Notamacropus eugenii: one gene and its partners. The protein of the gene in region 1 purifies or fractionates together with the protein of each later gene. This does not show direct contact. Links are inferred from orthologs where the notes say so. Each region holds a gene or a part of one and is shown in the gene's direction. Other genes may lie near its edges. The genes, in order: UPF1, SLBP, SMG7 and UPF3B.

Region 1 (7,597 bases):
GCTCAAGTCATTGCCAAATGTCCAGTGAACATCTCAGGAAAATCAGAATTTGAATACTACTTCAGACTCTGTCTCAGTTTGCTCATCTACAAAATGGGGCTAACTACTACTACTACTACTACTACTACTACTACTACTTCATAGGGTTGTTGTGAGGTTGAAATGAGATAATACATGGAAAGTGTTTTGTAAATCTTAAAGCACTTTAAATATTAGCCATTATTATTATGACTACATCCACACCTCAAAATTAACTTGTTTAAACCTGAAATCATCTTCCCATGCTACAGTGTCCTCCAGAGGTATCGATCATGAGGCCCTGATGCAGTTGAACTCCAGTTCAAATGTATTCGGGAAATAGTTAACAAAATAAATAAAAATACGATAAAATACAATATTCCATTTTGTGGTTGGTATGTTGTTCCAGTCATGTCGGACCCCATTTGGGGTTTTCTTGGTAGAGATACTACAATGGCTTTGCCATTTCCTTCTCTACCTTATTTTGCAGATGAGGAAACTGAGGCAAGCAGGGTTAAGTGATTTGCCCAGGGTCACACAGTTAGTAAATTTCTGAGGCCAGATTTGAATTCAGGAAGATGAGTCTTCCTGACTGCAGGCCCAGCACTCTATCCACTGTGGCACCATACATAATGTTAATATGTGGTTTTCTAAGTCAACCTTCTATAGGGTTTACTGGCCCCAATTCTCTTTGTGTTTGATACCAGTGGTGAATGGAGGACTTCTGTTTGAATCTTGCCTCTGACATTTTCCAGCTTTGTGAGTATGAACTAATCACTTTTTTCTTTCACCTTCCATTTCCTCATCTCTCAAATGGGGATAATAACCCCGTCTACCCCACAGGACTGGTGGGAGGTGCAAATGGGAAAAGGTACATGGAAAGTGCTTTGGAAATTGCAAAAAGCTTTAAATCTGTTATTATTATCATGATATCTGTAGTGAGTGCCCTCTGTAAATCCTATAGAACCACACAAACATCAGTTATCATCCCAATACTTTGCAAACATTGAAGTGCTTCATGTCAGCTATTATATTATTATTTCTCCAAGCCTGCTCAACTCCCCTTTGGGGGCATAGGATGTTCCCAAGCTCCATCCTCCAGACTGGCAGCTTCCGCATCCTCTTGGGCGTTCTTCTTTGTTCCTGACCCCACCCAACATCCAGACAGTTGCTTTGCTGCTCATCCCTCCTGGCCTCTCTCTGCCTCTCAGTTTGCCTGGTCTTCTTCAAAACTCAGTTCCAATCCTACCTTTGCCAAGAGGCCTCTTTCCCTGTCCCTCCAGCCGCTAGTGCCTTCTCTCTGAGATCACCTTCCATCCACATTGTCCAGTATATATCCTGCACATTCATGGTAGTTTTCTTATTGTCACCTCAAGTCAAATCAGAACCGTTGAGGGTGGTGGATTGCAGTTAATTGAGGTGGATTGTGATTAATTCCATTTTTTTTCCCTCCTTAATGCTTAACACAGATTATGCATTTAATACTTGTTTAGGGGCAGCCAGATGGTGCAGTAGATAGGATGTGGCCTCAGACACTTGCTAACTATGTGACCCTGGGTAAGTCACTTAACCCTGATTGCCATAAATAAGCAAATAAATGCTTGCTTATTGGACTGACTACGTCTCTCAAATCTGCTCCTTTCTATCTAATCAAATGGCCAACACCATTCTAACGCAAGTCCTAACCAAGTCTCTTATTTTATTTCCTTGCTTCTAGTCTAGCTTGCCTCTATCCCACACTTTACACAGCTGCCAAAATAATCCTCTAGTCACTCCCCTTTCTCAAAATCCTGCCATGACTCCCTATTGCCTCTAGAAGAAAATATTAAACTCCTCATAATCTGGCTCCAGCTAACTTTTCCAGTCTTATGGCCCATCATTCCCCTTCATGAATTCAATGCAATAGCTAAAGTGTTGTTCTGTCAGTCACTTCCAATTCTTAGTGACACTGTGCACCATACTGTCCATGGGGTTTTCTTGGCAAAGATACTGGAACGGTTTGCCATTTCCTTCTCCAGTTATAGCTAAACTAGATTATGGCAGAATCTAGTATCTCTCCCTGGCTATCTTCTGTGTATGAAGTGCAGCGGAGAGAGCACTGAAATGGAATCAGGAAATTCTGAGGTCAAATTTGGCCTCAGATACTGACCAGCTGTGGAACTTTGGCAAGTCATTTAACCTGTTTGCCTCAGTTTCCACATCTGTAAAAATGGAGATAATAATAGCAATTACTTCCCAGAGGTGCAAGATAATAAAATAAATAAGGATAAAATAAGTTCATATTTGTGAAGCTCTGTAAACTTTAAAGTACTATAAATGCTACCTATAATTATTATTATTATGTCTTTCTAAATTCTTCTCTTCCTTCAATGGTGACCTTAGGTGCTACCATTTTTAAGTAACCTTTCCTTAATCCTCTCCTCATTCAATCCTTCCCACTCAGATTTTCTGAGAGTACTTTGGATGGATCTCTTTTGGTTTTGTTTTGCCTCTCTTGGGTCCATGTTACATCCTTACCTTTGCCCCCCACCCAGTAGAATATTCTCCTTGAGGCAGGGTCTCCTGTCATTTTTATAGTATTTATCTCACCAACATCCACTTCAGGGTTTTGCACTGGTCGGTACCTCCCCCAAATCTTTGTTGAATGAATGAATGAATGAGGAAGTTGCTGTGAGGCAGATTTCAGCTAGATGTAAGAAAAAGTTTCCTGACCATTAGGGCCATTCCAAAGTTGAATGGGTTAGCAGAGGCTGAAAGGTTGCTTGTTGGCCATGGTGCAGAGGGGAATCTTGTTCAAGTATGGTTGAACATAATGCTATAAAGGTCTGTTCCAGCTCTGAGAACCTGTGATTCTGTGGAAAAGAGAGAGGAGATAGCAGGAGGAGAGTAGAACCTGGGCAAATCTTAATGTGCATAATCTCTGATGCATCCATCACCCACAAGCAGGGAACCTTGGTGTTGAAAGCAGCCCTCTAGTCCAAGTCATGTCCCCTATGGCAGGGGTGGCTTGAAGACCTTTCAGGTACAGGACATCACTCTTGAGAGGCCATGCACTTCCCTAGGAGAAGGCTGTCATATAGTCTCTTGTAGTTTGTGGGTGTCCACCAGACTTGGAGCTCCCTGGCCAGGAGGCCAGTATCTCACTGTCCTGGGTTGTGATCCCACGCCATCTGCCACGCGTGGGGGCACGTTTCAGGAAAGGCATGGCCAACCTGGAAAGACCCGAAGGAGGGCTGGCAGGGTAGCGACGGTGGCTGGAGAATTCCTACGGACGGATCCGAGCGGTGTTCAGCCTGGAGGGTGCCAGTATCCGAGGAGCTCCTGGGCAGAGGAGGGGGGCTGCCTTGAAGTCCATTTCCAAAGTTCCTCAGAAGAAGGCTGCCCCAAAGGGACAAGGGCCGCTGTGTCCTGGGGTGGCCGGCCCCTTCCTGCCCCGAAGCCTGCAGGCAAAGTTTGGATGACCATTTGACCGGTACGTGGTAGACGAAAGAAAGGAAAAACTGGCCACATCTCTGAGGTTCTTTTCCAGCACAGAGATTCTGAGGGTCTGGGTCCGATCCCGACTTCAAGTGTGGGCAGGCCCCGCACACACCAGGAGCCCCATGATTGCGGATGACACTGCCAGGATAGCGCCGGGGAGTCACAAAGCCTCGGGCTTCACAACCACCGGGTGTGACACGCGGAGCAGAGCCGAGCCCGGGGGCTTGCGGGCCGGGCAGACCCCGCCCCGTCCCCGCCCCACGCGCCCAAAGGTCTGCAGACGTCTTAACAGCTCTGCCGGCAATCCCCCCACGAGGCAAGCGGTGGCAAGGGTCAGCCTCGGGCTGCAGGGTCAGGCCCTCTACTTTAGGCTGAGTCTCAGTTTCCTCATCTGTACAATGGGGATCACAAAGAAACGGAAGCGGAGGGCCGCCCGGCTCCGCCCCCACCGCCTAGGCGTGGGGCCGAGCTGGAGTCGCGAGCTCCGGGAGGGCGGGGCCGGGAGGGCGGTGTCGAGGGCGCGCCGGGGCGGATGGGCGGGAATCCCCTTTCGCGGGGGGACGAGCCCTGCAGCTCCCCCTGGTATCCCGCCGCCCAAGAGGGGGCGCACGAGCCCAGCAGGCCGTAGACGTTCAACGACCCGCTGGCCCCGATTGGGACTGAGGGAGGGGAGGAGGGAGAGGGAGAGCGACAGGAGTCACGTGCTGGGCGGCCGTTGGACGCCCAACGTCCGCCCCTCGGGTTCCCCCCGCCCCCTCCGCGGGGGTGGGGAGATCAGAGGGCGGGCCCCACCCACGCGTTGGCTCCGCCTCCCTCCTTCTCCCGCCCTCCGCGCCTCGTGCGCTCTGCGTGCCTCGTCAGCACGCTCTCGGCGTCCTCTCCGAGGGAGGCGGGGACTGAAGGGAGCGAGCGGAGTCCCGACCTAAGCGGGGGGTTGGTGGGGGCAGTGTCGGGCACGCGCGCGGCGGCGGCGGTTCCTGGTTTAGCGTGTAGATTATATAGGAAGAGGAGGAGGCTCGGGAGGGAGGCTTTGAGGCGAGGCCCTGGTCGGGGTCGCGGCGCGCGCGCTCTCGCGGCGGGTCGGTTCGGTTCGGGCGGCGGGCGCGGCCAGGCCTTGGGCGCGCGGGTTCCGAGGTAGGCGCGAGGCCGCGGGCGGAGCCGGGCCCTCGAGTGCGAGACCAGGCCGGAGCCGGCGAGGCGAGGCGAGGCGGAGCGGCGGCGGCAGCAGGCCAGGCCCCGGGCGGCGGCGGCGCCATGAGCGTGGAGGCGTACGGGCCCAGCTCGCAGACCCTCACCTTCCTGGACACTGAGGAGGCCGAGCTGCTGGGCGCCGACACCCAGGGCTCCGAGTTCGAGTTCACCGACTTCACCCTCCCCAGCCAGACCCAGACGCCCCCCGGAGGGCCTGGCGGCGGCGGCGGAGGCGGTGGCGCGGGAGGGCCGGGAGCCGCGGGCGTCGGGGGAGCCGCGGGCCAGCTCGACGCGCAGGTGAGGAGGGCTGGGGCCCTGCCCCTCCGGCGGAGCTCGGGGGGCTGCCCCCTCCCCGCCTCGGGGGCCGGGTGGCGAGGAGGAAGTGACTCGCCCCGGGGGTAGGTAGGAAGTGGAGCCCGAGCCTGCCGCCACCCCCTGCGGGGGAGATCTGGCCCTTTGGGGAGTTCGGATCCTCCCCCTCCTACACTTTCGCTGTGGGGGAGGGGCTGCCCTTAGAGAAGGGGCGTCATTTGGGGTGGGGGGGCACCAATCCCAGGACTCCGCAGCCTTTTCGGGGGAAGTGCAGCTGACAGATTTCCTTCCTCTCGGAGGCCAGGGGGGCTCCCTTGGTTTCTGAAAAATCCGACTGGGTCGGGGTGCAAGGGGCTTCCTGCCCCCCAGCTCCCCACCTGTTCTTGCTCCACTTTGAAAATGTGAACCTGGCAAAGATGGTTTGCTTTGAGCCAGGTATCTGTTACTCTCTCTTTCCAGGAAACTGAATTTTACCAGGCCCGGGATGTGCAGGGGACACAGCTTGGTGTTCAGATCGGAATTTTTTTTTCCCCCTCACATCGTAGAAGTACTGTTGTCTTTTTAAATGTGTGTGGGACTTCCTACTTTTAATTACAAGTGATTTCTTATACAGGGTCTTAGCAAGGTTCAAATACACATGTTAGTGGCAGGTCGTTTTTCTCTTCCTATTGGCTTTACCTTGTTGAAAACTTTAACCCTTTATGAAAGCAACAGGTATCGTAACTTTCACTTTTATGAAATACTTTAGAACAGATACGCTTCCTGCTACCTGGATATGGATCTCTTTCTTCCTGAGTACAGCCATCTGTTCTTATCTGATTGGCCCAGTCCTGTCTTTGTTTGGTCGTTACCTGACTCCTAATAGCTGTGTGACCCTAAGCGAATTAATCTCTTTGAGCCTCAGTTTACTTATCTGTAAAATGAAACTAATATTTGACCTACATACGTAGCATGTTAGTGAAGAAATCTCTTTGTGAGCCTTAAAGGGCTACAAAAATAAATATTTCCAACATTTTGAGTAAGAGCTGGAAGCTTTTCTCTTTTTCTTTTTTTTTCTTTTAAACCAAAGTTGAGTTCTCTTGAGGTTGACAAGGGGCCTGAGCTTCCCAGAGATGAAGTGATGTGCTCATTGTACTTTAGGGATTGAGCATAGTGGAACCTTTTGGATCCAGATCTTTCTCAATTCAAGGCTCTTTTTGTTACATCATACTGCTTTACAACATTATTTCTTTAAAGGTGGCAAGTTGGTGGGTGGAGCATCTGGTTTGAACAGGTGTGCAAACATGTTCTGCCTTTTTGCAGGTACTGAAGGAGGATTTGCCTAAAGAACTTGGGAACCAGAGAGAAGGATAGTAGAAATTTCTAACACTAGTATCAGTGCTCTGTAAAACATCATGTCTGTATATCAAATAAACCAAAACAATCACATATATGTAGGTACTTTCACATGTAATATGTAGCAAATATGTCAGATTGTACTCAGTGAAAATCTAATTTATAATTAGCCGTGATGCTCTTTGTAGAGAGGAGAGGAGAGGAAGGAGCTGGGTGGCATTTTGTCTACTTATATAGTGCTTTACAATTCACATGGTTTTTGTTAAGAAACACAGTAGTTTAGATTATAAATGGCAGCTGATAGTTTGTAGAAACTACCTTGATGGAAGTGTATTCTTGGGTAACATGAGTAGTTTACCTGTGCTTCACAGCCAATATGTCTAAAGTAACTTTGGGTGGTGGCAGTGTTGTCCAGTTTATAGGTTTTGTTGCTGATAGCTTGATAGCTCAGAAAGCTCCTGTTTGGTTTGTCATCAGCTGGTAGTAGTTGTTTGTCCTTTGAAATAATGGTTATTTTCATAAAGACTAACATTTCATTTTAGGTGAGCAGAACTTGTCATTAAGGTGACTACCGAAGTAAAACTTGATGTTATTGTTAGCAGAAATTTCTTCTGCATTTATACAATGCAAAGGTACCTCTCCTTCAATTTTCTATCCCTATTTAAGGAGAAAAGGTGAAGATTTAGTTTTTTTGTAGAGGAGATGAGGACCTTGATTGATAGGGATATGGAGAAGCAGGGTCAGTTTTGAAAAGATCTATCCCCAAGGTGCATTCAGGATCAGTATGTCTTTTGTAGTAATTGATGTCACCAGGTACTTCAAAACACTTGGGAGCTATTTATCTTACCTGAATTTCGGAGCTAGTGATGTAATCAACTGTAAGAAAGGAGATCCTAAACTAGAAACCATTGAGCTTTTTTTTGAGAAATGATTCAGGATTTTAAAAGGGGGGTGATTTTTATGATTTTGACACTTTTGAATAATAAAAAGAGGGTAAAATTCTTTATCATTTGAAGTGCTGGGTTTTGGTTTTTTTTACATTACCTTTGACTTTGCCTGTTAGAATCATCAAATATTAGAACTAGAAGATGATCTTTAGGTGATCCAATCCAACTCCCTGGTTTTGTAGATGGAGAAACACCCAGAGAGGGTGAGTGACTGACGAGAAAAATCTAACTTATTTCTCCTGACCTCCAGTCTAGTTTTTAATCATATGGTTTTATTATTATTTTTTTTAAAGACAAACTTAACTGATTAAAAG
Region 2 (7,301 bases), on another chromosome or scaffold:
CCTGCCAGAACTTCTCCTCGGTTATCATAACCTTAGAGAACTCGAGTTTACCTCCAGACCATAGGGAAGCCCAGGAGGAGACTGTCAGTGTATCACAAAACAATGGCCAGCAAAACTGGGGATTTGTTTATGCATATTTGTTATAAAGGTTTCTTTTTCTTTTCCCTCTGCTGGGGATTGGGGAATGTTGTGGGAGAAAATAAATGCTTGGGTTTTTTTTTTAATTCATTTTAAAAAGAACACATGAATGTAAAAATTAAATAACAGCAAAAAGAAACAAACCAATAAGCAAAGGTGAACATTACTAAATATTTGAGAATACAACTTCTGCAGAAAATAGATCTTTTTTTAAAATGAAGACAAAGTTGAAACAACCAACCGAAGCAATCCGATCACAATAAATTTGATCCTACTAACAATGAATGCAATAAAGGTGTATACCTATACATAAGGATACACACATGCACACATGTCATATATTATAATATATATCATACACTAATATATACATATATGTATATGTATATTACACAAATGAAGTCAAATTTTAGTCAGGGGATTTCTCCATCACTTGCTCCCTCCTTCCCTATTTTCTCCCCCCTTTTCTTTTCCTTTACTTTTCCACCCCTACACTCTTTTCAACTTCCTTTTGTGTGTTTTCTTCCCCTCCTTGAGGGCAGAGACTGTCTACTTTTTTTCCTGTTTGTTTGCCTGCTTAGAACAGTACCAAGCACATAGTAGGCACTTCATAAATGTTTGTTGACTGACTGATCGACCTGACAGGCAGGGTGATCTACCACTGTTCACAGAAGCCTATGACACAGAGGTCCGAATTTGTGAAGAGAGCCAAGGCAAAGTTAAGCGCTCTTCTTGGGGTTTTTTTGTGTGTTTGCCCTTCATTCTCAAAGAGGATCATGACATCAAGGTGATGACATGACTTGCAGTTGACTGATTTGAGGGAGGGAGGGCTGTGCAAGGTCACCAACCTCACTTTCTTCTCCTGAGCCATCTGGGTGCAGTGGCCTGAAATTCCTCAGGATGGCTGGAGATGGCCCAGGATGCAATGTGAGACCCTGGCCCTTTCTGGCTAAGTCTTATCACATTCTCACTTTGAGTGAGATACACCCATTCAATGAATAGGCTTCTTTAAGTAGTTACTCAAGGGATGACCTCTTTAATAAAAAAAAAAAAAATCAAACTGGGTGGAGAAGACCCTCAGGGTTCCTGGAAGTTAAGAGGACCATAATATTTGTTATATTTCACAATGTCATTCATTTGAGCAAACAGTATAAGTTGGTTTCAAAGAAAACTCACAATTTTTAAAAATTGAATTAACTTAGGAGCGAGAATGGGTAATCCTCTGAAATGGTCAACAATGACATTTAAGTTTAATTCCATTAAATATTTCATCATCTGTAATTTTTTTAAAAAGTGAAATAATATCCTTCCTTAATGGATACAAGAGGAAATCCAATGGAGCAGCTGAACTACTACAATTCAAGTGGATTAAAGACAGTTTAAATACCCAGGACACATGCAAAGAAGAGAAAATCTGACACTTCTGATGAGCAGCCTTTTTCGAAAGCCTTGTCTGTAAGATGCAAAGAAACATTTGCCTCTTAAACGGTTGCTTACAGAATGGTTAGATATAAAAGTATTCCCTCATTACAAAGGGAAAATGTTGGTGTTGCCCATGGTGGGAGGTGAATCATATGGCTTCCTCATGTCTCCTGAAACTTGAATATCTGATGAATAATTTTTGAAAAAACTTAGCGCTCTAACTAAATCAATGCAAGGTCTTTCCTCAAATTTATACTCTGATCTAAAATGGTTAAGTGACTAAATTTATGAAGAAGTGAAACCTCTGGTTATTAAGTTGGCAAAATGACATTTTTGATATGTTTCTCATGTTAGGAACTACATACCTCACACATAAAATAGAAGGAAGTAAAGCTATGTTTGCTCGCCATTTGACTCTATTCTCATTTTTTAAAATTTTAAAATAATATTGCATATTTCCCAATTACACGTAGAGAGAATGTTTAGCATCCCTTTGAGGTTTCACATTTTCTCCTGTTCTTTCCTCTCTCCTCCCCCTTCTGTAACACAGTAAACAATCTGACACAGGGTATACGTGCGCAATGGTCATTTTATTTTAAAGATGTAGACACTTCCGAATGTGAAGGCATAAGGATCTCATCCGCCATGAACAAACACGATACCTTTGCTCTGACTTCACCAGAACGAGCACGGCTAATCGATATGTCGAAACAAACATTTAGATTTAGACTGTTTGGGGTTTTGGCTCCAGCTGGATAAAGATCTTTCCGTTCCGTCAGACAAAGCCGCCACTCAGGCTGATTGGTAGGCAACGTGGGCTCCTACTGCGGCTGCGGGAAAGACAAACGCTCCGCTTTGAAAGGCCTGACAACGGAATCCCCAGCAGCGCGGCCCGCGAGGAGGCTTGGCGCGGAACGAGGCCTCCCGCCGAGACGCTGTGGCGGCCAGCATCTTCGTGCGTTACGGGCGCTACCTGTCTGCGGGTGAATAAATGACTGTCCAGTTATCTGTGCTTTAGATGTGCGTGCGGTGAAACCGCGATCACCTCCTCACCTCAACAAAAGACAAATAAAACCATTCACCTGAGACGATTTTGTGAAAGCGCGAACATCGTTGTACAAGAGAGTACTCAGTGTCAGCCAAAGCCCCTGGTGGTGGCGCGGCGCACGCGCACGGCAGAGCGCCTGCAGCGCATGCGCGCGCAGCTGTGCGCTGTTGTCTTCCTCATCCTCGGAGGTTCTAGAAGACTGCGGTTACTGGGGGGTTTGGGGGGGTGCTCGCACTTCTCCTTGTCCTCTGTGCCCATCACAGTGACGGGCAGATGACAGGCTGAGTGGGCTGTTGACCCGGGGTGTATAAAGTCAGCTCTGGCCCCACGGCCCGCTTTCACACCAGCTTGGGCGGTGCAGAGCGGCCGGCTTCGCGTGCCCCGGTCACAGGCGAGGCCCATGCACGTGCCCGGCCACCTCCGGCCAACGGGGCTGGCACTGGCCGTCCCTGGGAGAGGCTTCGGGGCAAGAGGGTGGGCACCACCGGGCACCACGGCCCACCGGCCGGGGAGGGGTCCCAGCTCCGGCCCCTCCAGGAAGCCTCCGCTCTTTGGGCGGCTGGTGGCCCTGCTGACTCAGGGAGCGGGGAGGCCAAGCAGCAGCCGCTGCTCGTTCGGCGCCCAGGGGGCATTGTGCCCTTATTAAGGGCTTACTGTGTGCAACACACAGACAGACGCCGGCCCGACCTCGAAGAGCTCGCTCACCTTCAAAGGCTGAGGCCAAGGTTTCAGCGGCACGCCGGAAGGAAAGGGCCCCGCCTTATCACAGCAGGGGGTGATGGCTTCTTTAATGGTTTTGGACCCTTGGACGCTGCCCTGGGCTGGAAGCACCAATCCCAGTGTCTGGCACACAGTAGGTACTTAATAGATGTTGATTGGTCATTGATTGATTGTGGATTGATCTAGTGGTCAAGATGTGTGTGTGTGGGGGGGTGCTTCCTGTCCGAGCTAGGCCAGGGGCCCGAAGGCTCGGGGCACCTGGATTGACTGAGTGACCTTGGACAAGTCATCTCTCTCGGCACGAGTTTCTCCATGGGTTAAACGAGACTGGACTGGACGGTCTGTAAGCTATGATCTGGACCTCTCTAAGCGGGATACAGTCAGGAGGTCACTGGGCTTGGAATGGAACGGAGCTGAAGTGAATTGGGTTCTCTCCATCTCTCCTCCCGGCCCAGAGCTTCCAAAGATCGGTCTTTTTCTGCGTCCCCGCCCTGAGATGACGGAATTGATTCGGCCCAATCAGCCATGAGCATGAGCCCTCATTTCCCCATTTCCCCGCCCCCTCCTCCTCCCCGCCTTAATCTTCGCTCTCGGCTTCAGAATTTCCCGCCAACACCCCTCCCCAGCCCGCGCAGAAGGAGCCAATGAGAGCCTGCGGCGCGCTGATCTGCCGCCCGGACTTCTTCTGGGTCGAACTAATTCGGAATTAGGGGGAGATTTTGCTTGCGCCTTTCCCAAACCCACCTGTGGGGGCTCGTTTATCCTCCTATACATCTGCGTGCCCTTTTTCCTATTACGTTTTTGCCCCGACGTTAATTGGAAATTCCCTCGTCCTTTTTACCGGATCGAAACTTAGTGCCCTCTTTTCCAGACTCCCCGCCTCCTCCTGACCACGCTTCGATGGTTCGTCCCAGGCTCGCGAGAGGCGGTGGAGGGGGTGGGGGAGGGGTGGGGCAGAAGGCTTATAAAAAGCCGTTGGAGGAAGTCGCCACTCGCGCGCGAAATCAGTCTGCGCCGGTGCAGCGGCTTTGGAGCAGCTCCTCTGCTCGACGTTAAGGAAGGGAACGTCCAGACGGGACTTCTACTCTCGCCAGAGCTCGTCCCCCACCCAGCCGCACACCTGATCATGGATTGCCGGCAGCCGAGTCCTCGCAGTGCCGGGACGAGCCCAGGGCATGGCTGCTGGGGCGGCGACAGCGGGTAAGTCGGGCGACGACGGGCGGACGCCTTCGCCGTCTAGTCTGGGCTAGCGGCGGGCCCGGGCCTTAGTGCGCCTGCGCGGCGGCCCCGGCTCCACCTTCTTGCTCCCCGGGATGCGGGTGGCGGGAAAAGACGCCTTCACGCCGGGAAGGATGCGTGTTAGGAAGGGCCTGGGGGGGGGGGGGGGGGAGCTTGGGATGAGGAATTTGGCCATCGATGTCTGAGTGGGAGCTTCCCGAGGCCCTCTTTGTAGCCCACGTTCCCGAGGGGCCCGCCGGGGCCGGCCTTGGTGAAGAAGGAACCGAGGCGCGCAGGGGGGGAGGGGCGGGCCCCGGGACCCCAACCTCCTTAAAATCATCTTATCCTGTTTCAAAATTGCCGGTACTGAGCCATTGAGATGTGGGGGGGAGGGGTACTCTGAGTGTTGCGTACGAGTGTCGGGGAGTGTCGTGTTCTCTGTAATACACCCGCTTCTCCCCCAAAAAAGGATTTTATTTAGAGAACCTGGGCTTTCTTACTAGCGAAGTCACTTTTCCAGGTCCAAATTAGAATTTCTTTAATTTGTTAAATCAGATTAATTTGGCAGAACTGGAATTGGAATCCTGTGCTCCTGAAAATCAATTTTACATCGTTTCAGTCATTTTTAAAATGAATAATTTGGATTAATTGGCATAGCTGGAATTAGAATCCTGTGTGCTTGAAAATGTGCCTTCCATTGCGCCAGTCTGCTGCTCTCATTTGCACCACCCCCATAAAGGGGGGAGGGTTTTTGTAATCTGCCATTTTACAAATGAAAAAATGTGGGAGAAATAATGTCCCCGAGGAAGCAGCTGAACGTTCTTGCTGCTTCACCAACTGGATGTTGGCCCTGAGGTTGAAAGGGGGGGGGGGGGTGAACACGCAAACCAAGAGGTGCGCTTCTATCCAAAGGATGCCCTTCCATGTGTGCCCCAAATTAAGTTATTAGGCCAAAAACCCAACCTCATGGAAATTTTAGGGCTGAAAGGGATACTACTATAGTCTACATTGATGCTTTATCTTAGATGAGGAAACAAACTGAAACCCAGAGCCCTGAATTGACTAATCGAAAGTCACAGGGAGCCAAGTTTAGAACCTGGTTCTTCTGTTTCCTAGGCTAGTACTTTTACTTTTATCTAATCTCCAGAGCACCTCCTAATTTAGAAGAGATCAGCTAGTAAGTCTAACTTTTTCTCTTTCCTAGCACACTTTCTCCATCCCCATCCCGGTGGTCTCTTGGACGCAAAAGACGATTGGATGGAAGGCACAGAAAACCAGAAAATGTTGAGTCATCTCTGTTTGTTGAAGATGAGTCCAAATCTAGACATGCAGAAGAAAAGGAATGTCGAAATTCAGACAACAGGCTTGAAAGGTGCGAGAAACATACTTTGCCATGGGGGTCTGTTTTCTTTGTGCAAGTTGTGACTGGCAGTCATGAGGGTTTTGTGAAAATTATGTAGTCAGATCAAATTATTTATTATTTGATCCCATTTGGGAGAAATGAGACCCAAAATGTGATAGCTGAAAAGAGGAGGTATCTATCTAGGCCATGGGAAAATTTGAAGGGAAACGTCATACTTCTATTTTTACTAATTGGTCTTCATTTTATGAAAAAGTTGTGTGGTTTATTTAGTTGGCATATTCGAAACAAACCTTATTATTGGTTTCCATTTCCTAGAGTATTTGCTTTCTACTTGGGGAAAAGGTAGTGCTTAATTTGGGAGATGTACTTGAACACATCTCAACCTTTATCCATGTTTGCATACTCTGACAAATATATGGAGAGTTAGGATTTAAACTTGGTTAGAAGTATATGATCCCAATTCATAGAAACCTGGAGAGGCTGGGTTGAATTTACCACTGTGGGAACACTAGTGAGACTGGACCCAGCAAGGGTCATTCTGACATGAACCCATTATAGAATCCATGTTCCCTGGTGCCCGTGTCATTCTTAAATATCATTGACCTAAAGAAGTAATACACTATATTATGTCATGTGTTTTTGTATCCAGTGGATCTGTAATATCATGGATGTGGGTGTTCCTGCCAACAGCAGCACTTACTGCATCACATCTCAATCTGCCCTTTCTGTGCAGCTTCTGTCCAGGTCTTTCCATAAGCTTAGTCTATATTAGGACCTTTTAGCATTTCCAAAAATATATTTTGGACAAATTTTTTTTAAAACCCTAAAATTCAAATTGTTGCAGGAAAATGTCTAGTCACTTAAATTAGGTGTGAAAAATTATCTTGCTATCTGTGGGTTATGCTTTAGTTGATTAAAAATTTTACTACCTAATGTAAGTTTTAACAAAAAGCATTTGGAAATTTAACAGTTAAGAAAATGGGTACAGAATTCTCCAGGTTTTAAAATGATTGAACTTTTTGTTCATATATTTGAGGCTAATTAATTTGTATTGCTAAACCCAGGATTGCCTATTAAGAGCATACTGTAGACAATGAGACCATTGATAAGATAAGTTGATAAAACTGTGGGATTTATGTTTGTGTCTGTGGTTTGGCTTTCGGTTAGCTTTTTAGAAGATGTGAACATTTGTTTCTCCAGGATTGAGTCTCAATATTTCGAGGAGACTGAATGCTGTTAGCCAGTTTGATAACAATAGCGAGCTTTTATTTGTGCTTTAAGATTTGCAACATACTTTGCAAATGTAATTCATTTCATTTGATCCTCAGAATTACCCTGGGAGATAGATGTTATCTCCATTTTACTGATGAGGAAACTGGGGCAGATTGAGAT
Region 3 (7,002 bases), on another chromosome or scaffold:
ATATTATCCCAAATGCTAAGCACATTCCCAGGGGTCATATAATAATAGTTCACCTTCCTTCCAAAAATCAGAAAGTAGGGGAGAGAAAAATACTTTTAGCTTGGTTGCATTCTAGGCCAAAGTAATTTATGTGTTATGGGTAATTCAGTATAGCAATTTGTTATAAATGCAGAGTGACTAGTAATTGACAGAATTTGAAAATACACTGACAGGCTAGAGTATTCATTAGGCTGAATCTATAAGGAAGATATTCAGTAAGGATAAATGTAAAATCTTATACTTGGGTTGTAAAGAATCAGCTTAAAAAATATACCTTTAACCCACTCCTCTCCCCCCACTAGAACCTTCCTTATGAGATTACCTTTAATTTATGTTGTAGATAGCTAGCTAGCTAGATCATGTTATATACACAGTTATTTTCATGTGAGGGTAGGGACTGCATTTTTACTTTCTTTGTAGGCCTAATACTTAGAATACCACCTAGCACATAGAAAGCAATTACTAAATGCTTTTTGATTAATAGGATGGGACTTTTCTGTCTGAAAAAGATCTGGGAGTTGTGATGAACTGAAAATTCAATATAATTCAGCAATGTAATTGGGGTAGTCAAAGAAAATGCTAATAGGGTCTTGGGTTTCATTAAGAGAGGCCTAGCTCCCAGGGAAAAGATATGATGGTATCCTACTCTTTGCTCCTGGTCACACTACATCTGGGGCATTTGCTCAGTTATGGTCCTACAGATTGTCGGACACTGATAAACTGGAGAGTTTATCCAAAAACATGAAAGTCCTTGGGTTCATGTCATATGAGAATTGAAGGAATGGAGAGGATGTTGAGCCTGGAGAAAAGAAGACTAGTAGAAACATTATAGATGTCTTCAAGTATTCAAAGAACTGCCATGAGGAAGAAGGATTGGCTGATTCTTCTATTTGGCTCTCAAGGGCAGAATCAGGAACAGTGGGAGAAAATTGGAGAAAGGTAGATTTCAGAAGGAAAAAAGTTTCTAACAAGACCTATCTAAAGATGTAATCCAATTGGCTACATTAGGATGGTTGCCCCTCATTGAAGATCTAGCTCACTCATCAGGTAGATTATGGCGGGAATTCCTTTTTATTACTGGTTGGACTGGATGATGGCTGGTACTTTTACCGACTCTAAAATGAATATGATTTTGCCATTTTTCCATCTAGGTCTCTGGTTTACGGATCTAAATCCCCTTGGCTGAGTTGGCAGATAAAGGTGTGGACACCAGAGCTTACCCTAGGCAAACCTGTAAATTAAACAAAGTTTGCCCTAGTGGTCTTCTACCTGCTCAATCAATAACCTTTACTTCTTTCTAGGAGCTTGGCTGTGTCCCAATATCGCTAAGCAATTAGTTGTTAACAAAGTTAACTGATTAGCACCCAAAGTTTGATCTTAGTTATATCAAAATATTAAAAAGGGATTGTAGTAAGACTGGTAAAGCTTGCTTTGACATCCTTTTTGGGGGAGTGAAACTGTGGAGATTGTATGTGCAGATTCCAGCAAACATTTGAGGAAATCTCCTTATAAAATGTGCTTCTGGATAAAATGGACATGGGCTAGATCAGGGGTGGGGAACCTTCTAAGTCCTCAGGTGCAGACTTTTGACTGAGTCCAAGTTTTACAGAACAAATTGTTTTATTAAGGAGATTTGTTCTGTGAAGTTTGGATTCAGTTAAATGGCTGCACTTGAGGATCTAGAAGGCCACATGTGGCCTTGAGGCTGCAAGTTCCCCACTCCTGGCAGGATCATAGTCTGGTAAAGCAGATTTGGACCTAAAATGCCTTTCCTCTCCCCCAATTAGAATTGCATATTCTGGGGATGGGTAGTGGGAGTGGGTGTTTGAGACAGACAAATGTTTCTTAGGAATCAGTGAACAAACATTTAGCAGAGCACCTCAGAACAATTGTTGACTCTAACCTAGTTCAGTAACCTGGAGAGCAAGATCCTCCCAGTTCAAAATTGTTTTGTCATTGGGTTGCTATTTGAACCAGAATGAATCATTTATTCACCCAGCTGAATCATTTAATCTCTTCTGAGTTTCACACATAGGACAGGAAAGATAATACTGATTCTCCTTGGGTGTAAAAGTCTACCAGATGACCTTTTCTGTGATTGTCATTGTGCTGACTGTATCAAGTCCCCAAACATTGTAGAGCCTTCTGCAATGGGGCTGTAATCACCCAAAGTTTGTTTGGTCTGCACAGGAAAGACCAAGAAAATGAAGAATGTCTATTGTCCAGATTTCAACATGAATTTGGATGGACAACCAATAGAGTCTGTCCACCAGTATGAATATTTGGGACAGACAGTACAGATGGATTGTACAGATGACTTTGAGTCAGGCACAAAATTGAGTAGGAGGATGGCGGCTGGCTGTATTGCCTCCAAGAAACCACAAAGCTCCTTTACTGATCCCAAGCTTCCCATGAAAGCAAAGGCCCTTGTTCTGAATACCACTACTGGTATCGATATACAGCAGCAAAGCATGGAACACAACTGTTTCTGAAGAATAAAAATGACTACTGTACAGACGTTGATGGAAAGGCATGTAGTACAAGCTTCAGAACATAACTAAGTAGGAATTTCAAAGAAGGAGTAAAAGACTTCATCAAAGAACTGTGTAGTAGGAAGAGAAGATCACATAGTGATGAGGAATGACATGTAAAACATCCAGAGTGCTCCACTGGCACCTTTAAAATGTCAAGAGAAATTGATGAAAGCCTCCTACTAGGTGGACCTCCTGGTAAATTTACAGGAGGTTATGGACAAGAGTCACACCGAGCAAGCATTAAATGGGGTTGATATTTGCATAGAAATGATGCTAGCTCACAGACATCTTTGAAAATCTGAGAATGTACAGCTTGTTTCATCCTTTCCCTCTGGGGTTCTTTGATGACTTAAAATCTTAATTTCTTAACAAACAGGCCTGTAGTACCAGCCCACCACCATCCAGGCTCCCAAAGATAGTCTAAGTTACTTCCCAGGAAAAGAATGCATAAACACCTACTTGAAACAGGCCACACTCGCCAGCTGAGTTGAAAGGATGGATTCTGTGACTCTGTGGTTTCAGCGACAGGCATGCATAATTCCATAATCATTGTCATCATCCAGATTAAAAATAATTAAGCACTGAAATGCACTTGAGCTTTGTAAACATTAAATCTATGTAGATCAAATATTGTAATGAATTATTACTTCGTAAAATTTCATACAGGTCAGTTTGATGAGAGAGATAAAAGCAAGAACTTCAGGAAGTTTGGTGGGTGGCTAAAAAGTGTGTACACTATTTACTTGGCTTGGCGAAGATTTGTGGATTTTAATAATAGTCACAATAGTGAAGGATTCCAAAATGTACAAGACCTTTAAAATCTTATTTCTAATGTCCTAACATTATAATGGTTTACGTAGTCACAACTGTGGGCACAGAAGCCTACCTTCTGACTCTAATGGGAATGGTGATTAGGGTTTGTGAGGAGGTTTCTTGGGAGGATTGTGGAAATAATCCATGCACAGCACTTTTTTTTTTCTTTTGAGGGGAAATGCAAAGTGGTGGAGTTCCAAATGCTTCGTGATTCTGAAATTTTAAGTGGTAGAGAGCCCAACTATTATGTATAACTTGATACAAAGCATTAAAAAGTGAACAATTTTTGCATTAAGAAACCTAAAATACATTCTCAATGCTCTCCTCCGGAAAATATGCACATATTCAAGGACTCAACAAAATCATGGAAGGCCTAAAGGAAATTGAAGGGCCTCTTCTTTTTGTTATCTGGTGGCTCCAGTTTAGTGTCTAGAACCAGTTGCATATAATGAAGGCTGGTGGGAATTTGTGATTGAAGGGAAAAACAAAACATCTCTCTTGATGAAAGGTGCTTATATAAGTTCAACATATTTACTGATGGAATACACAGTAGGAAACAGGATTAAAAAATAAGGATGAAGACAAGAGATAATTTGTGCATTGTAGATTTTTTTATTAGCAAAGAACTGGAAACAAAGTATATGTCTGTCAATTGGGAAATGGCTAAAACTAACTGTGGTGTATAAATGTAATGGATTATTAGAATCATTGATTTAGAGACAGAAGTTACCTTGGATATTAGTGAGTTCAACTCTCTTATGTAACAAAGGAGGAAACGGAGGCTGAGTTGAGAGTAAACTTACCCTGAATCACAGAGCTAGTGTCTGAAGTAGTAGTTGAACTCCCATCCTAAATTCAGTTTGCTTCCTTTCCTGCCAGGCTCCATACCACCTTGCTAGCTTCCCTCCTGCACTGTCAGAAACAATGAGTATGAAAGACAAGAACTGATTTAAAGTGAACAGAACACTAATGTAAATGAAAAATAAATGCAACTTTATGTTATGAAATTACAATGACAAGTTGACCCCAAAGAGATCTGAGAGGACATTTCCCCTCTCTTCTTTTGCAGAAGGAGCAGCCTGTTGGTATGAGAAACTGTATCTAATGTTAGACTTGATGTGTTAGGTTAGTTTCACTGAATTTTTCCCTGCCTTTTCTTTATTCTTTGTTATAGTAAAAACAAAAACAAAATATTTAAAAGCAATTTGCCAGGGTAACTCTTTAGTACTCACAGAATTCATTTTGTACTTCATGATTTACAAAATATTTTTTACAATACAATTATTAATAGTAAAATACAGGGATGAAATAAAGTTACTTTATAGAAACGTATTGATTCTCTCACAGTGCATGCACCAGGCGAAAGCTGCCTCACTAGATGGCTCTCTTCCCTGTTGAGTCAGCGTGAGTCAGTGCCCAAGTGTGGTGGCAGGGGGCACTGTACTGCTGAAAATCGTCTCAGATGACAAGCAAAACTTAGGTCATCGCGGGCGTGGTAGTCCCAGGAAATGCCCCGACAATACATTTCTATCAGTACTAGGACCTAGTTAAATTGATTTCATAAATTGCGTCGCGAATTCTTCTTTCAAAATTGTACTTGGATTTTTTTTGCTAGTCCAAATTACTTGCATGTTTGGACTTTAAACAGATGGGACATTTTCTTTTAGTGGACCAGGAAGTGAAGGATCTTGGAAACGTTCCTTCAGCTAGTAGGACAATGACAGAACAACAAAGATGATTAGTGTCCCGGTAGTTTCCTCCCGAGAAGGGCAAGTAAGTATGAGTCCCCTAAAAGCACATGCAGAGTCTAGGCAAGATGGAAAATCAATAATCCAGCGATTCCTTGCTCCTCTTGCTACTTTTCCCCTCCAGCATAGTACCACCGACTTGGGTCCTTCTTTCGGCGGCTTTTCAGGACCCAGTACCGAGGGCGAGATGACTTAAAACAAAAACCCCGACATCCCTTCCCCAGACCTTCTGCTCCGGGGCCTCGATCCCAAGGCCGACTGGATACTTTTTTGGCGCCGCGCTTCGATACATTGTGACTTCTCCTCCAATCCGGGCCGACCCTCGAGAGCCGGAGGACACGCGGGCGCCCCCAGCGATGACTTTGACCTTGATCGCTGCCCCCGCGCGGGGCGGCCCACGACCGACCCTCCGCCACTCTTAAAGGCCCCGCTTTTTATAAAGATCTACTGTCACTAAGATTTCCCGGACCCGAGGGGCCGGGGGCAGCTCCACGTGCCAGGGGGGGGGCTCCCTCCTCCCCACCCCCAACGCCTCGCAAGCCGCAGCCATGCAGGGATCCCGCCTCTCGCAGGCCGGCTCCGGGAAAGCCCTCGGTCTTCCCCGGAGCTGCCGCCGCCTCGCCCCGCCCCTGCCTGCGGGCGCTTAGAGGACTAGGGGGTCGCCCCGGCCGCGGAAAGGACTTGGGGAGATCAGGCACGGGGATTCCCGAGGGACCGACCCTGCAGACAAGGCGGAAGAACTCGGGGAAAGCAGAGGGCGGCCGCGGGCGTCTTCCCCGGAACCTGTTCGCCTCGGGAAGGGTCCCCCTCTCCCCTCGCCTCACACACTGGTTACCATGGCAATACCACCGCAGCTGCGCGTCGCCATGGCAGCCGCTCCTCCAATCCCATTGGTTTCGTTTCCTTTCCTGCCGGGCTCCCCACCCCCTCTAACAGTCCCTCCGCGTGCAGGGGGAGGGGCCGGGGAGAGGAGGCGGAGGGGTCCCTCGCGTCACTCCCTAGCGCGCGAGGGGAAGAATAGCGTCGGGGGACCGGCCGACGGAACTGTAGGAAGAAGAGGAGGCGTTTCCGGTGGGGAAGAGTGTGGGAGTGGAAGTAGGAAGCCAGTTTGGGCTGCGGTGAAGAGAAAGACGGGGGAAGGTTTTGAGTGTAACTCCAGTTTGTTTCGGGTTCGATGTTCCCGGAGCGGCTGGGGTTGCCCCTTCCCGCTGGAAGCGGGAGGAAGACAAAACCCAAAGTGATCAAGCACCACTAGCAGGCCACTGAGAAGCCGCAACTGCAGTACACGCCCGGACGCTCCCGAAGTCTCTCCAGAAGGGCGGAAATCAGGCGGTGGGACCGGGGCGGCCGAAGTCTCGCGAGAGCGGCTCCCTCCGATTTCCTTCCTCTTCCCCAGTCCTCCCGCCCCCTTCCGAGGACCCTCCCCCCTCCCCCTCCTGGGTCGTAGTGTCCCTGCGCCCCACGGGCCGGAGCGGCAGCGAGAGCAGCTTCACCCGCTCCCTCCCCCACCCCCCCCTCACCGCCTTACTCACCACCCCCCTCCCGCCGGGCGAGGAGGAGCCGGAGGAGAGGAAGATGGCGGCCGCCGCCAGCACCAGCGGTACCGCGGGGCCGCTCCGAGGAGCCTGAGAGACCCACGGACGCTTCGCGGGGAGACGCGGCGGCGGAGGATGAGCCTGCAGAGCGCGCAGTATCTCCGGTGAGAGCCGGGGCCGGGCACTGGCCCGGAGGGAGCTGCTGGGGGGGATGGGGAGTTCCTGTGCGGGGCTGGGGGAGCCCCGGCCGGCCCCCCCAGGGGTGGGGGCCCCTGGGGAAGGTGGCGGCTGCGGCGGCTCGGGGGCCCGACCTGGGGCGTGGGGGGTGCGGAG
Region 4 (7,465 bases), on another chromosome or scaffold:
CATAGGGAGGAGGGAAGACTTGGAATGCTTGGTACCCATTCTGGCTAAACTGGAGTAGTGTGGGAGAGGCTTGGAGTGCCTGGAGCCCATGAGGTACCATACTAAACTGGAATGGGGCATGGGAAGGGGGAGAAATAGGTATAGGGAGGAGGGAAGGCTTGGATTGCTTGGTACCCATTCTTCCTAAAGTGGGATAGGGCAGGGGAGGCTTGGATTGCCTGGTGTCCATGAGGTACCAGACTAAGCTGGAATGGGGGGGGGGGGTAGGCATAGGGAGGAGGGAAGGCTTGGATTGCTTGGTCCCCATTCTGGCTAAACTGGGGTAGTGTGAGGGGGGCTTGGATTGCCTGGTGCCCATGAGGTACCAGACTAAGCTGGAATGGGGGGGGATAGTGAGGAGGGAAGGCTTGGATTGCTTGGTACCCATTCTGCCTAAAGTGGGATAGGGCAGGGGAGGCTTGGATTGCCTGGTGTCCATGAGGTACCAGACTAAGCTGGAATGGGGAGGGGGGGTAGGTATAGGGAGGAGGGAAGGCTTGGATTGCTTGGTCCCCATTCTGGCTAAACTGGGGTAGTGTGAGGGGGGCTTGGATTGCCTGGTGCCCATGAGGTACCAGACTAAGCTGGAATGGGGGGGGATAGTGAGGAGGGAAGGCTTGAATTGCTTGGTACCCATTCTGGCTAAACTGGAATAGAGGGAGAGGCTTGGGTTGCATGGTGTCCATGAGATACCAGACTGAACTGGAATGGGGGGGGGCGGATAGGGAGGAGGGAAAGCTTGGATTGTTTGGTACCCATTCTGGCTAAACCGGGGTAGTGTGGGGGAGGCTTGGAGTGCCTGGAGCCCATGAGGTACCATACTAAACTGGAATGGGGCGTGGGAGGGGGGAGAAATAGGTATAGGGAGGAGGGAAGGCTTGGATTGCTTGGTACCCATTCTGCCTAAAGTGGGATAGGGCAGGGGAGGCTTGGATTGCCTGGTGCCCATGAGGTACCAGACTAAGCTGGAATGGGGAGGGGGGGTAGGCATAGGGAGGAGGGAAGGCTTGGATTGCTTGGTACCCATTCTGGCTAAACTGGAATAGAGGGAGAGGCTTGGGTTGCGTGGTGTCCATGAGATACCAGACTGAACTGGAATGGGGGGAGCGGATAGGGAAGAGGGAAAGCTTGGATTATTTGGTACCCATTCTGGCTAAACCAGGGTAGTGTGGGGGAGGCTTGGATTGCCTGGTGCCCATAAAGATTTCTAGCTAAACTGGGGTGGAAATGGAGAATGGGGAGGCTTAAATTGCCTGGTATCCATGGGTTACCAAGCCAACCTGGGAGAGAGTAGTGGGGGAGGTTTGAATCCAGGGTTCAAAGTAATCTGCTACTTGACTAATGTGCCAGAAGGATCTGGGGTACACTTTGAAGGAGCTCTTAAGGGTGTTGTAATAAACGAATAAAACATTTAAGAACTACTATGTACAAAGCACTAAGGACATATAGAAAAGACAGTCAGTGGAGGAGATAACACATGAAAGTTTTCAGCTGCAAGTCCAAAGATAAAGTCCCATGGTCCTTAGGGTGCAGCAGCAATGCAGATGGTGATTAATAAAGGCTTTTGTCCTGTTTCTTGGATGAGGACCTCCATACTGGGACACCTCTTTAGGACCATAGATCTAGAGTTGAAAGGGACTTTAGAGGCCACTTACTCCAACCCTCTCCTTTTAAAGAGGAGGAAACTGAGGTACAGGGATATTAAATGACTTGCCCACCCTCATACAAGTATTATCTATCACTGGCAATATTTTAACTTCTATCCATTCTATCTATATATTCATTCTTTAGAAGTAGAGTGGTTATAGAAGTGTGCTGCTTTCTTTAATGAAGGAATGAATGAATAAATGTTAAGTACCTGCTAAGTGCTAAAGGTAAAATACTAAACCTAGGCAGTCTGCCCTCTAAGGAGTGGTCTATTGAACTATTCATTGTTCTCTTGACACCTTTGCTTCAAAAATACATGAGACTCTTCTTTCACTATCAGCAGTAAATATAAAGCATGCCCTATTGTCCCTAGTGTGAGGACCTCTTGAAAGACCTGAAGGATTCATTTAGGGAGACAGGTTTGGGGAATTTATCTTGTGAACATCCCTTCTGAATTGTGAACTCCTAGAATGAAAGGTCTTCTGTTTTCTTAGTAACCATGATGAACATTGCCTGACTGATTAGCATTTAATCTGGTTATATTAGGTGACTGGTATTCATTCCCATTGCTGGATTGGTGCAGATCGTTACAGTGCACAGAACTGCTGGACTTTTCATTATAAATGTACTTCTGTAGCCAACTGTCTACAGTGACTTCTTTTGGAAATGACATTTTATGTGGAGGTGATGAAACACTGTCAGGTTATAAATTCATCTAAGTACTATTAATAGACTAGAATCAACTTTTTTCTATACAAATTACTGCCACATCTCTTTCTCTGGCCCTAACCTTAGTGCCAGTCATATATCTGCCTATTGTCTAGTAAACATTTTTACATAAATTAATTCTTCAGCAGCATCAAACTGAAGGTTTCATTCATCTTCCCAAATTAATCTTTTGACCTACTGAGCAGAGCTATTGCAAGAAATGAGTCAATAATCAACAAAATAAGATACCAACATATCTTGAAGTCCTGAAGGCAATACATTTACACTTTTTTACTTACAACATATCTTTATGAAGCCTCAAGATCATGAATTTATACTTTTTACTTCAAGTTGTATTTTAAAATAGTGATGAGGGATCTGCCAGATTGGCTGAAGCTGTCCTGGAGCCTAATTTCATCTGACTCACAGGCAAGTACTAACATCTGTCTCTATTTGTAGATACTTCCTACCTGTGTGGCCCTGAACAAGTCACTTAACCTGCCTCAGTTTCCTCCTCAGTAAAATGGAGATAATATCTACCTCTCAGAGTTGTTGTGAAAGTAAATTTTAAAGCACTTTGGTAGCTCTTATCATTTTTAGAGGGGAGGGAACGGATACTCAGGGCAAACATCTATCAAAATGTTGAAAGCAGAACTAAAATCTAAGTCTTCTAGCCCCATTAAAAAATTTTTTTTTTGCTCAATAGTTTTACAAACTATTTCTTTTCCCAAATTTATTAATTTATTTGTTTTCAGTTTTCAACATTCACTTCCATAAGTTTCGAATTTTCTTCCCCTCTCCAAGATGGTATGCAATCTATTATAGCTCTACACATACATTCCCATTAAACACATTTTCACATTAGTCATGTTGCATAGAAGAATTACAGCGAATGGGAGAAACCATGAGAAAGACAAAACATAACAGGAGAAAATAGTCTGCTTCATTCTGCATTTCGACTCCATAGTTCTTTCTCTGGATGTGAATGGCATTTTGCATCGTGAGTCCTTTGGAAATGCTTTAGGTCCTTGCATCGCAGAGAAGGGCTAAGTTCATCAAAGTCAGTCTTCTCTCACAGCCCCATATTTACTTAGTACTACAACTAAGTCAGCAATTTGGGAATTTGCATTTATAGTGTTATTCAATTAAATATTGAATGAAACAATGATCCAGGATTACCAGTCATTTTGGTTAGCCAGGAAGCTTTGCAAGCCGAGTGGAAACTGGTTTTAAGTCAACAAGTGATTGTTTAGTGTTCACTACGTGCCAGGCGCTGTGCTAAGCTGGGCAGCTAGGTAAGTGCACTGCATAGAGCTGGACTGGGAAAGCAATGGCAAACCCCTGCAGTAGGTTTACCAAGAATCCCCCAAATGGCGTCACGAAGAGTCGGAAACGACTGAACAACACTAACTAGACGCTAGATACAAGGACACGAGAAGGGAACGGTTGAAACAGCCAAGGACCTCAAGGAGGTTGTTTTTTATCCGGGAGAGACGCATTAATGTAACAAGAAAAGAAATATTGAGGAAATTGGAAGTGAGGATGGGGTTGGAATGTATTAAAGACCTGAGGGGCAGTCAGGGCAAAGATAGGAGATGGGAGATTAGAATGTAGTTTGAGTGACAGCGAGTGGAACGACTTAGGGACATGATCCGCAGAAGGATCGAGGGTAAGCAACAGGGCCATCTCCATAACCTAGGCTTTCCTATCAGTTTAAGGCGCTAAAGAGTGAAACCGAACTCCCTCAGTGGAGTCCCTAGGCTCCAGAAGCAACTTGCAGTTGGCATGCTGAGTTTTGTAGTTCTCAAGGCGATCAAAGTGAAATTGATTCTGGCAGAAAGGGGGCGGGGCTGACCAGTGACGGCTAAGAACAGCCCCGGGCGGCGCCTTGAGCCTAGCTGGGAAATGGGCCGCGAGCGGCCTCGGGTGGGTTCCGATGGAAATGCTAGGGTGTTGCCAGTCCCTTACCGACCTGGCGGGGGGGGGTGGGGGGTGGGGTGACATAGGCGACCTAGCATCTCGCGCGATCGTAGTTCACTGCGCCACGATTGCGGGTTGGACCTAGAGGATTTAATGGGAGGAGCTGCAAATTCGGGGTGGGGCGGGCTTATGGTGATGACATCCTGACGCTACCTTGGGTATAGGCTGGGCCATGAAAGAGGATAAGGAGAAAGCGAGGCCCAAGGAGAAGCGGCCGCCCTCGTTTTCAGTCTCGTCTGCAGCAGCGACAGCAGCAGCAGCAGCAGAGACAGCGGCGGCGGCGGTCACCACAGCAGCAGTCACCGCAGCGGCGGCAGCGGTAACTGCAGCCTCTGTCCCAGCCCCGGCCCCGGCCCCGGCCCCAGCCCCAGCCCCAGCCCCAGCCTCAGCCTCAGCCTCAGCCTCGGCCCCAGCCCCAGCTCCAACCCCGGCCCCAGCCCCATCCCCAGCTCCAGCCCCAGCTCCAGCGGCAGCTAGCGCAAGCTTCAGCGGCGGCCCGGTGGACAGCGCCAAGACCCAGGAGAGAAAGGCCGAGCGATTCAAAGAGAAGAAGGAGATGCTGAGCAAGGTGCGGGTGGCACGTACGGGTTCCTTCTCTGAATCAGCTGCCCGGCACGAGGCCGCGCCTGCCCCTTCCTTTCCCTTCCCCCCCTCCCCCCCGTCCCAGGACCCCCGAAAGGCTCGCGCTGCCAAAGATCCAAAACCGGACACGAATTGTGTCGGGGGAGAAGGCAGCTGGGGGAGGGGAGGCAATGAAAGAGTTAATGGGGCAGCAGAGAGCGGAAGGAGGGAAAGGGGGGGAAAGGGGGGAAGGGGGATGGGAGACTGCGACTGCAGGAGAGGCAAGCTTGGGGTGGTGCCCATTAGGGTGGAGAGAGCCCAGAGGGCCAGAAGCAGTGGGAAGGGGGGAGGGGGAACAGCGGGGTGGGGGAGGGAGGAGAGGGGAGCAGGTAGGGTGGGGGAAGGGTTCGGAGACGGGAGCTGGGAGAGGGGCGGGGATGGTGGAGGAAGGGACGGAAATGGCAGAAAGGGGATGAGGATCGACGAGGGCGGGGAACGCAAAGGGGAGCAGTGCAAGGGAGTAGGGAAGGGGGGATCAATGAGGGTGGAGAGGGGAGCAGGTAAGGTGGGGGGAGGGCAGAGGGGGAAAAGCTGAGGACTTGGAGGGCGGGGCAGAGAGGGGAGGGGGAAAAGCAAGGGATTGAGGAGAGAAGGAATGGAGGAAGGGAGGGGGAAAGGGAGAGTGGAGATGGGGAGGACCCTTCCCACCTTACTCTCTCCCTCCCTTCCTGGAAATACCTAATCTCACCCACTGAGGATGAGCCCCCACCTTGGCTAGCGACCCCCCTCCTCTCGAACGAAGCCCTCCCCTTCGGAGAAATGCAGTTCACATGCGCAGAGCTGCCTTTGGCTTGCAGGGTGGAGATTGGAGATGGTGGAGAGGGCTTGGGTGGTTTTGCCGATCAATCTGGTCTTGTGAGAACTGCAGAGAACTTGGGTTTGGGGAGTGGATTCTTATTGTAAGTTTTAGTGGACACACCCGAAAGCCCGGGGTAGCTACTGGCTGCTTCCGTATGATATTTTAAAAGAAAAATAAATCGCAGACCTTGTGCTGGGCTCCGGCTGACTAGCTGTTGCCTATGGCAGGTCAAAATCTGTTTTTCTCTTCTGTAAAACGAAGTCACTTAGTCCAGTCTCCTCGTTTGCAGTCAAGGAAACTGAGACCCAAAGGGGGGAAGAGACTTGGTCAAGGTCGTGCAAGTTGAAAGTGATGGAACTGGGCCAAATTCAGTGACCTTTCCACTTTACCTACCATGAAGCCTTCCACTACATACTGGACTAGGAATTAGGAGAACTAGATTTAATCTTTAATTACTAGTTGTGTCCATAGGCCAATCACTTTACCCCCTCTGAATTTCAATCTGTTGTTCACTTACATCATAAAGGAGGCAGACCCAGGTTAACAATCCCTTTCCAACCCTAATGATCCATGTCTGAGTAAGCCTCTGAGTTACGTCACCTGTAAAGTGGGCATAATGGTGTTTGAATTCCCCTTCCTCCCAAGGTTGTTGTGAGACACAAATAATATGAAGATATAAAATGTCTTTTCTTGTCATCATAAAATGCTATCTAAAAATATAAGCAATTGCTATTTAAAATAAGCCTTACCAATAAGTAAGGATCAGTCTGCAATAGTCTAAGTGAATGCATATTTTTAAAATAAGCTTGAACTTTGAGAATTAGTACTGGACAGGAGGAAAATTCCTGTCCTTGGCACGTAATCTTAGCATGTGAAACTTGGTTAAAGTAACCTTGCTGGAAGTTACAGAGTTGCTGTTTTTGAACCAGCAAGAAACAAAGTGAAAGATGCACCAAGAAGTGAAATCATTGGGCTGAGCAAAAACCAGGACTGACCTAATCATCAGGAGATGGGGAATTAATGCAGTTCATTCTTTTTCCTTCTTGTGTCAAGGTGATCATTCGGAGGTTGCCTCCTACTTTGACCAAGGAACAGCTTGAAGAACACCTTCAACCTCTGCCTGAACATGATTATTTTGAGTTCTTTGCAAATGATTCTAGGTAAAAAAAAAAAAACCAAAACAATTCTTTTGGTTGTTTTTTAAGGCTTCATCAGTGCTTGTCTTGCAAATGCTCCTCGTTATATGTTGGGGTCTAATCTCCCTATAGAACTAATGTGCATATATGCAACTCAGCAAGGGGCCTTCAAGCACATTTACATTTTGTTCTTTCTTTCTGCAGTTTGTATCCTCATATGTTTTCTAGAGCATACATCAACTTTAAAAACCAGGAGGACATTGTTTTGTTCAGGGATCGCTTTGATGGTTACGTTTTCGTTGATCATAAAGGTGAGTCCTGGCAAAGAGGGCCTTTGATATCTACTTGCCTTAGAAACATGGTGTATCCTGTGTACACACCACGCTCCCAGATCTTCAAAGCTCTTGTGTGTGATTAGCACGAATTTTGATTCAGGCTCTAACCTTTAGGCATCCTTGCAAATAAGTATAATGCCTTGATATCAAAGGCAGTACAAGTGGGTGAAATTTGGTGCTGGATTTGGATTGAGGAAGAT

The links.
Region 2: the proteins of UPF1 (region 1) and SLBP purify together in Homo sapiens (affinity purification with western blotting; 4 studies listed by BioGRID and IntAct, with this or other methods). This does not show direct contact. The link is inferred for Notamacropus eugenii from reciprocal best matches to the Homo sapiens genes UPF1 and SLBP.
Region 3: the proteins of UPF1 (region 1) and SMG7 purify together in Homo sapiens (affinity purification with western blotting; 7 studies listed by BioGRID and IntAct, with this or other methods). This does not show direct contact. The link is inferred for Notamacropus eugenii from reciprocal best matches to the Homo sapiens genes UPF1 and SMG7.
Region 4: the proteins of UPF1 (region 1) and UPF3B purify together in Homo sapiens (co-immunoprecipitation; 16 studies listed by BioGRID and IntAct, with this or other methods). This does not show direct contact. The link is inferred for Notamacropus eugenii from reciprocal best matches to the Homo sapiens genes UPF1 and UPF3B.

Annotation. Positions count from the first base shown.
Region 1 is NC_092875.1:66,552,533-66,560,129, reverse strand, and holds the start of UPF1 (regulator of nonsense transcripts 1), read left to right. Parts: upstream 1-4,581; 5' UTR 4,582-4,752; coding exon 4,753-4,986; intron 4,987-7,597. UniProt on the Homo sapiens protein: RNA-dependent helicase required for nonsense-mediated decay (NMD) of aberrant mRNAs containing premature stop codons and modulates the expression level of normal mRNAs.
Region 2 is NC_092877.1:50,014,960-50,022,260, reverse strand, and holds the start of SLBP (histone RNA hairpin-binding protein), read left to right. Parts: upstream 1-4,297; 5' UTR 4,298-4,454; coding exon 4,455-4,528; intron 4,529-5,750; coding exon 5,751-5,918; intron 5,919-7,301. UniProt on the Homo sapiens protein: RNA-binding protein involved in the histone pre-mRNA processing.
Region 3 is NC_092873.1:461,640,742-461,647,743, reverse strand, and holds the start of SMG7 (nonsense-mediated mRNA decay factor SMG7), read left to right. Parts: upstream 1-3,981; 5' UTR 3,982-6,804; coding exon of another isoform or gene 6,805-6,833; intron 6,834-7,002. UniProt on the Homo sapiens protein: Plays a role in nonsense-mediated mRNA decay. Recruits UPF1 to cytoplasmic mRNA decay bodies.
Region 4 is NC_092879.1:43,539,087-43,546,551, reverse strand, and holds the start of UPF3B (regulator of nonsense transcripts 3B), read left to right. Parts: upstream 1-4,463; 5' UTR 4,464-4,546; coding exon 4,547-4,942; intron 4,943-6,847; coding exon 6,848-6,954; intron 6,955-7,134; coding exon 7,135-7,241; intron 7,242-7,465. UniProt on the Homo sapiens protein: Involved in nonsense-mediated decay (NMD) of mRNAs containing premature stop codons by associating with the nuclear exon junction complex (EJC) and serving as link between the EJC core and NMD machinery.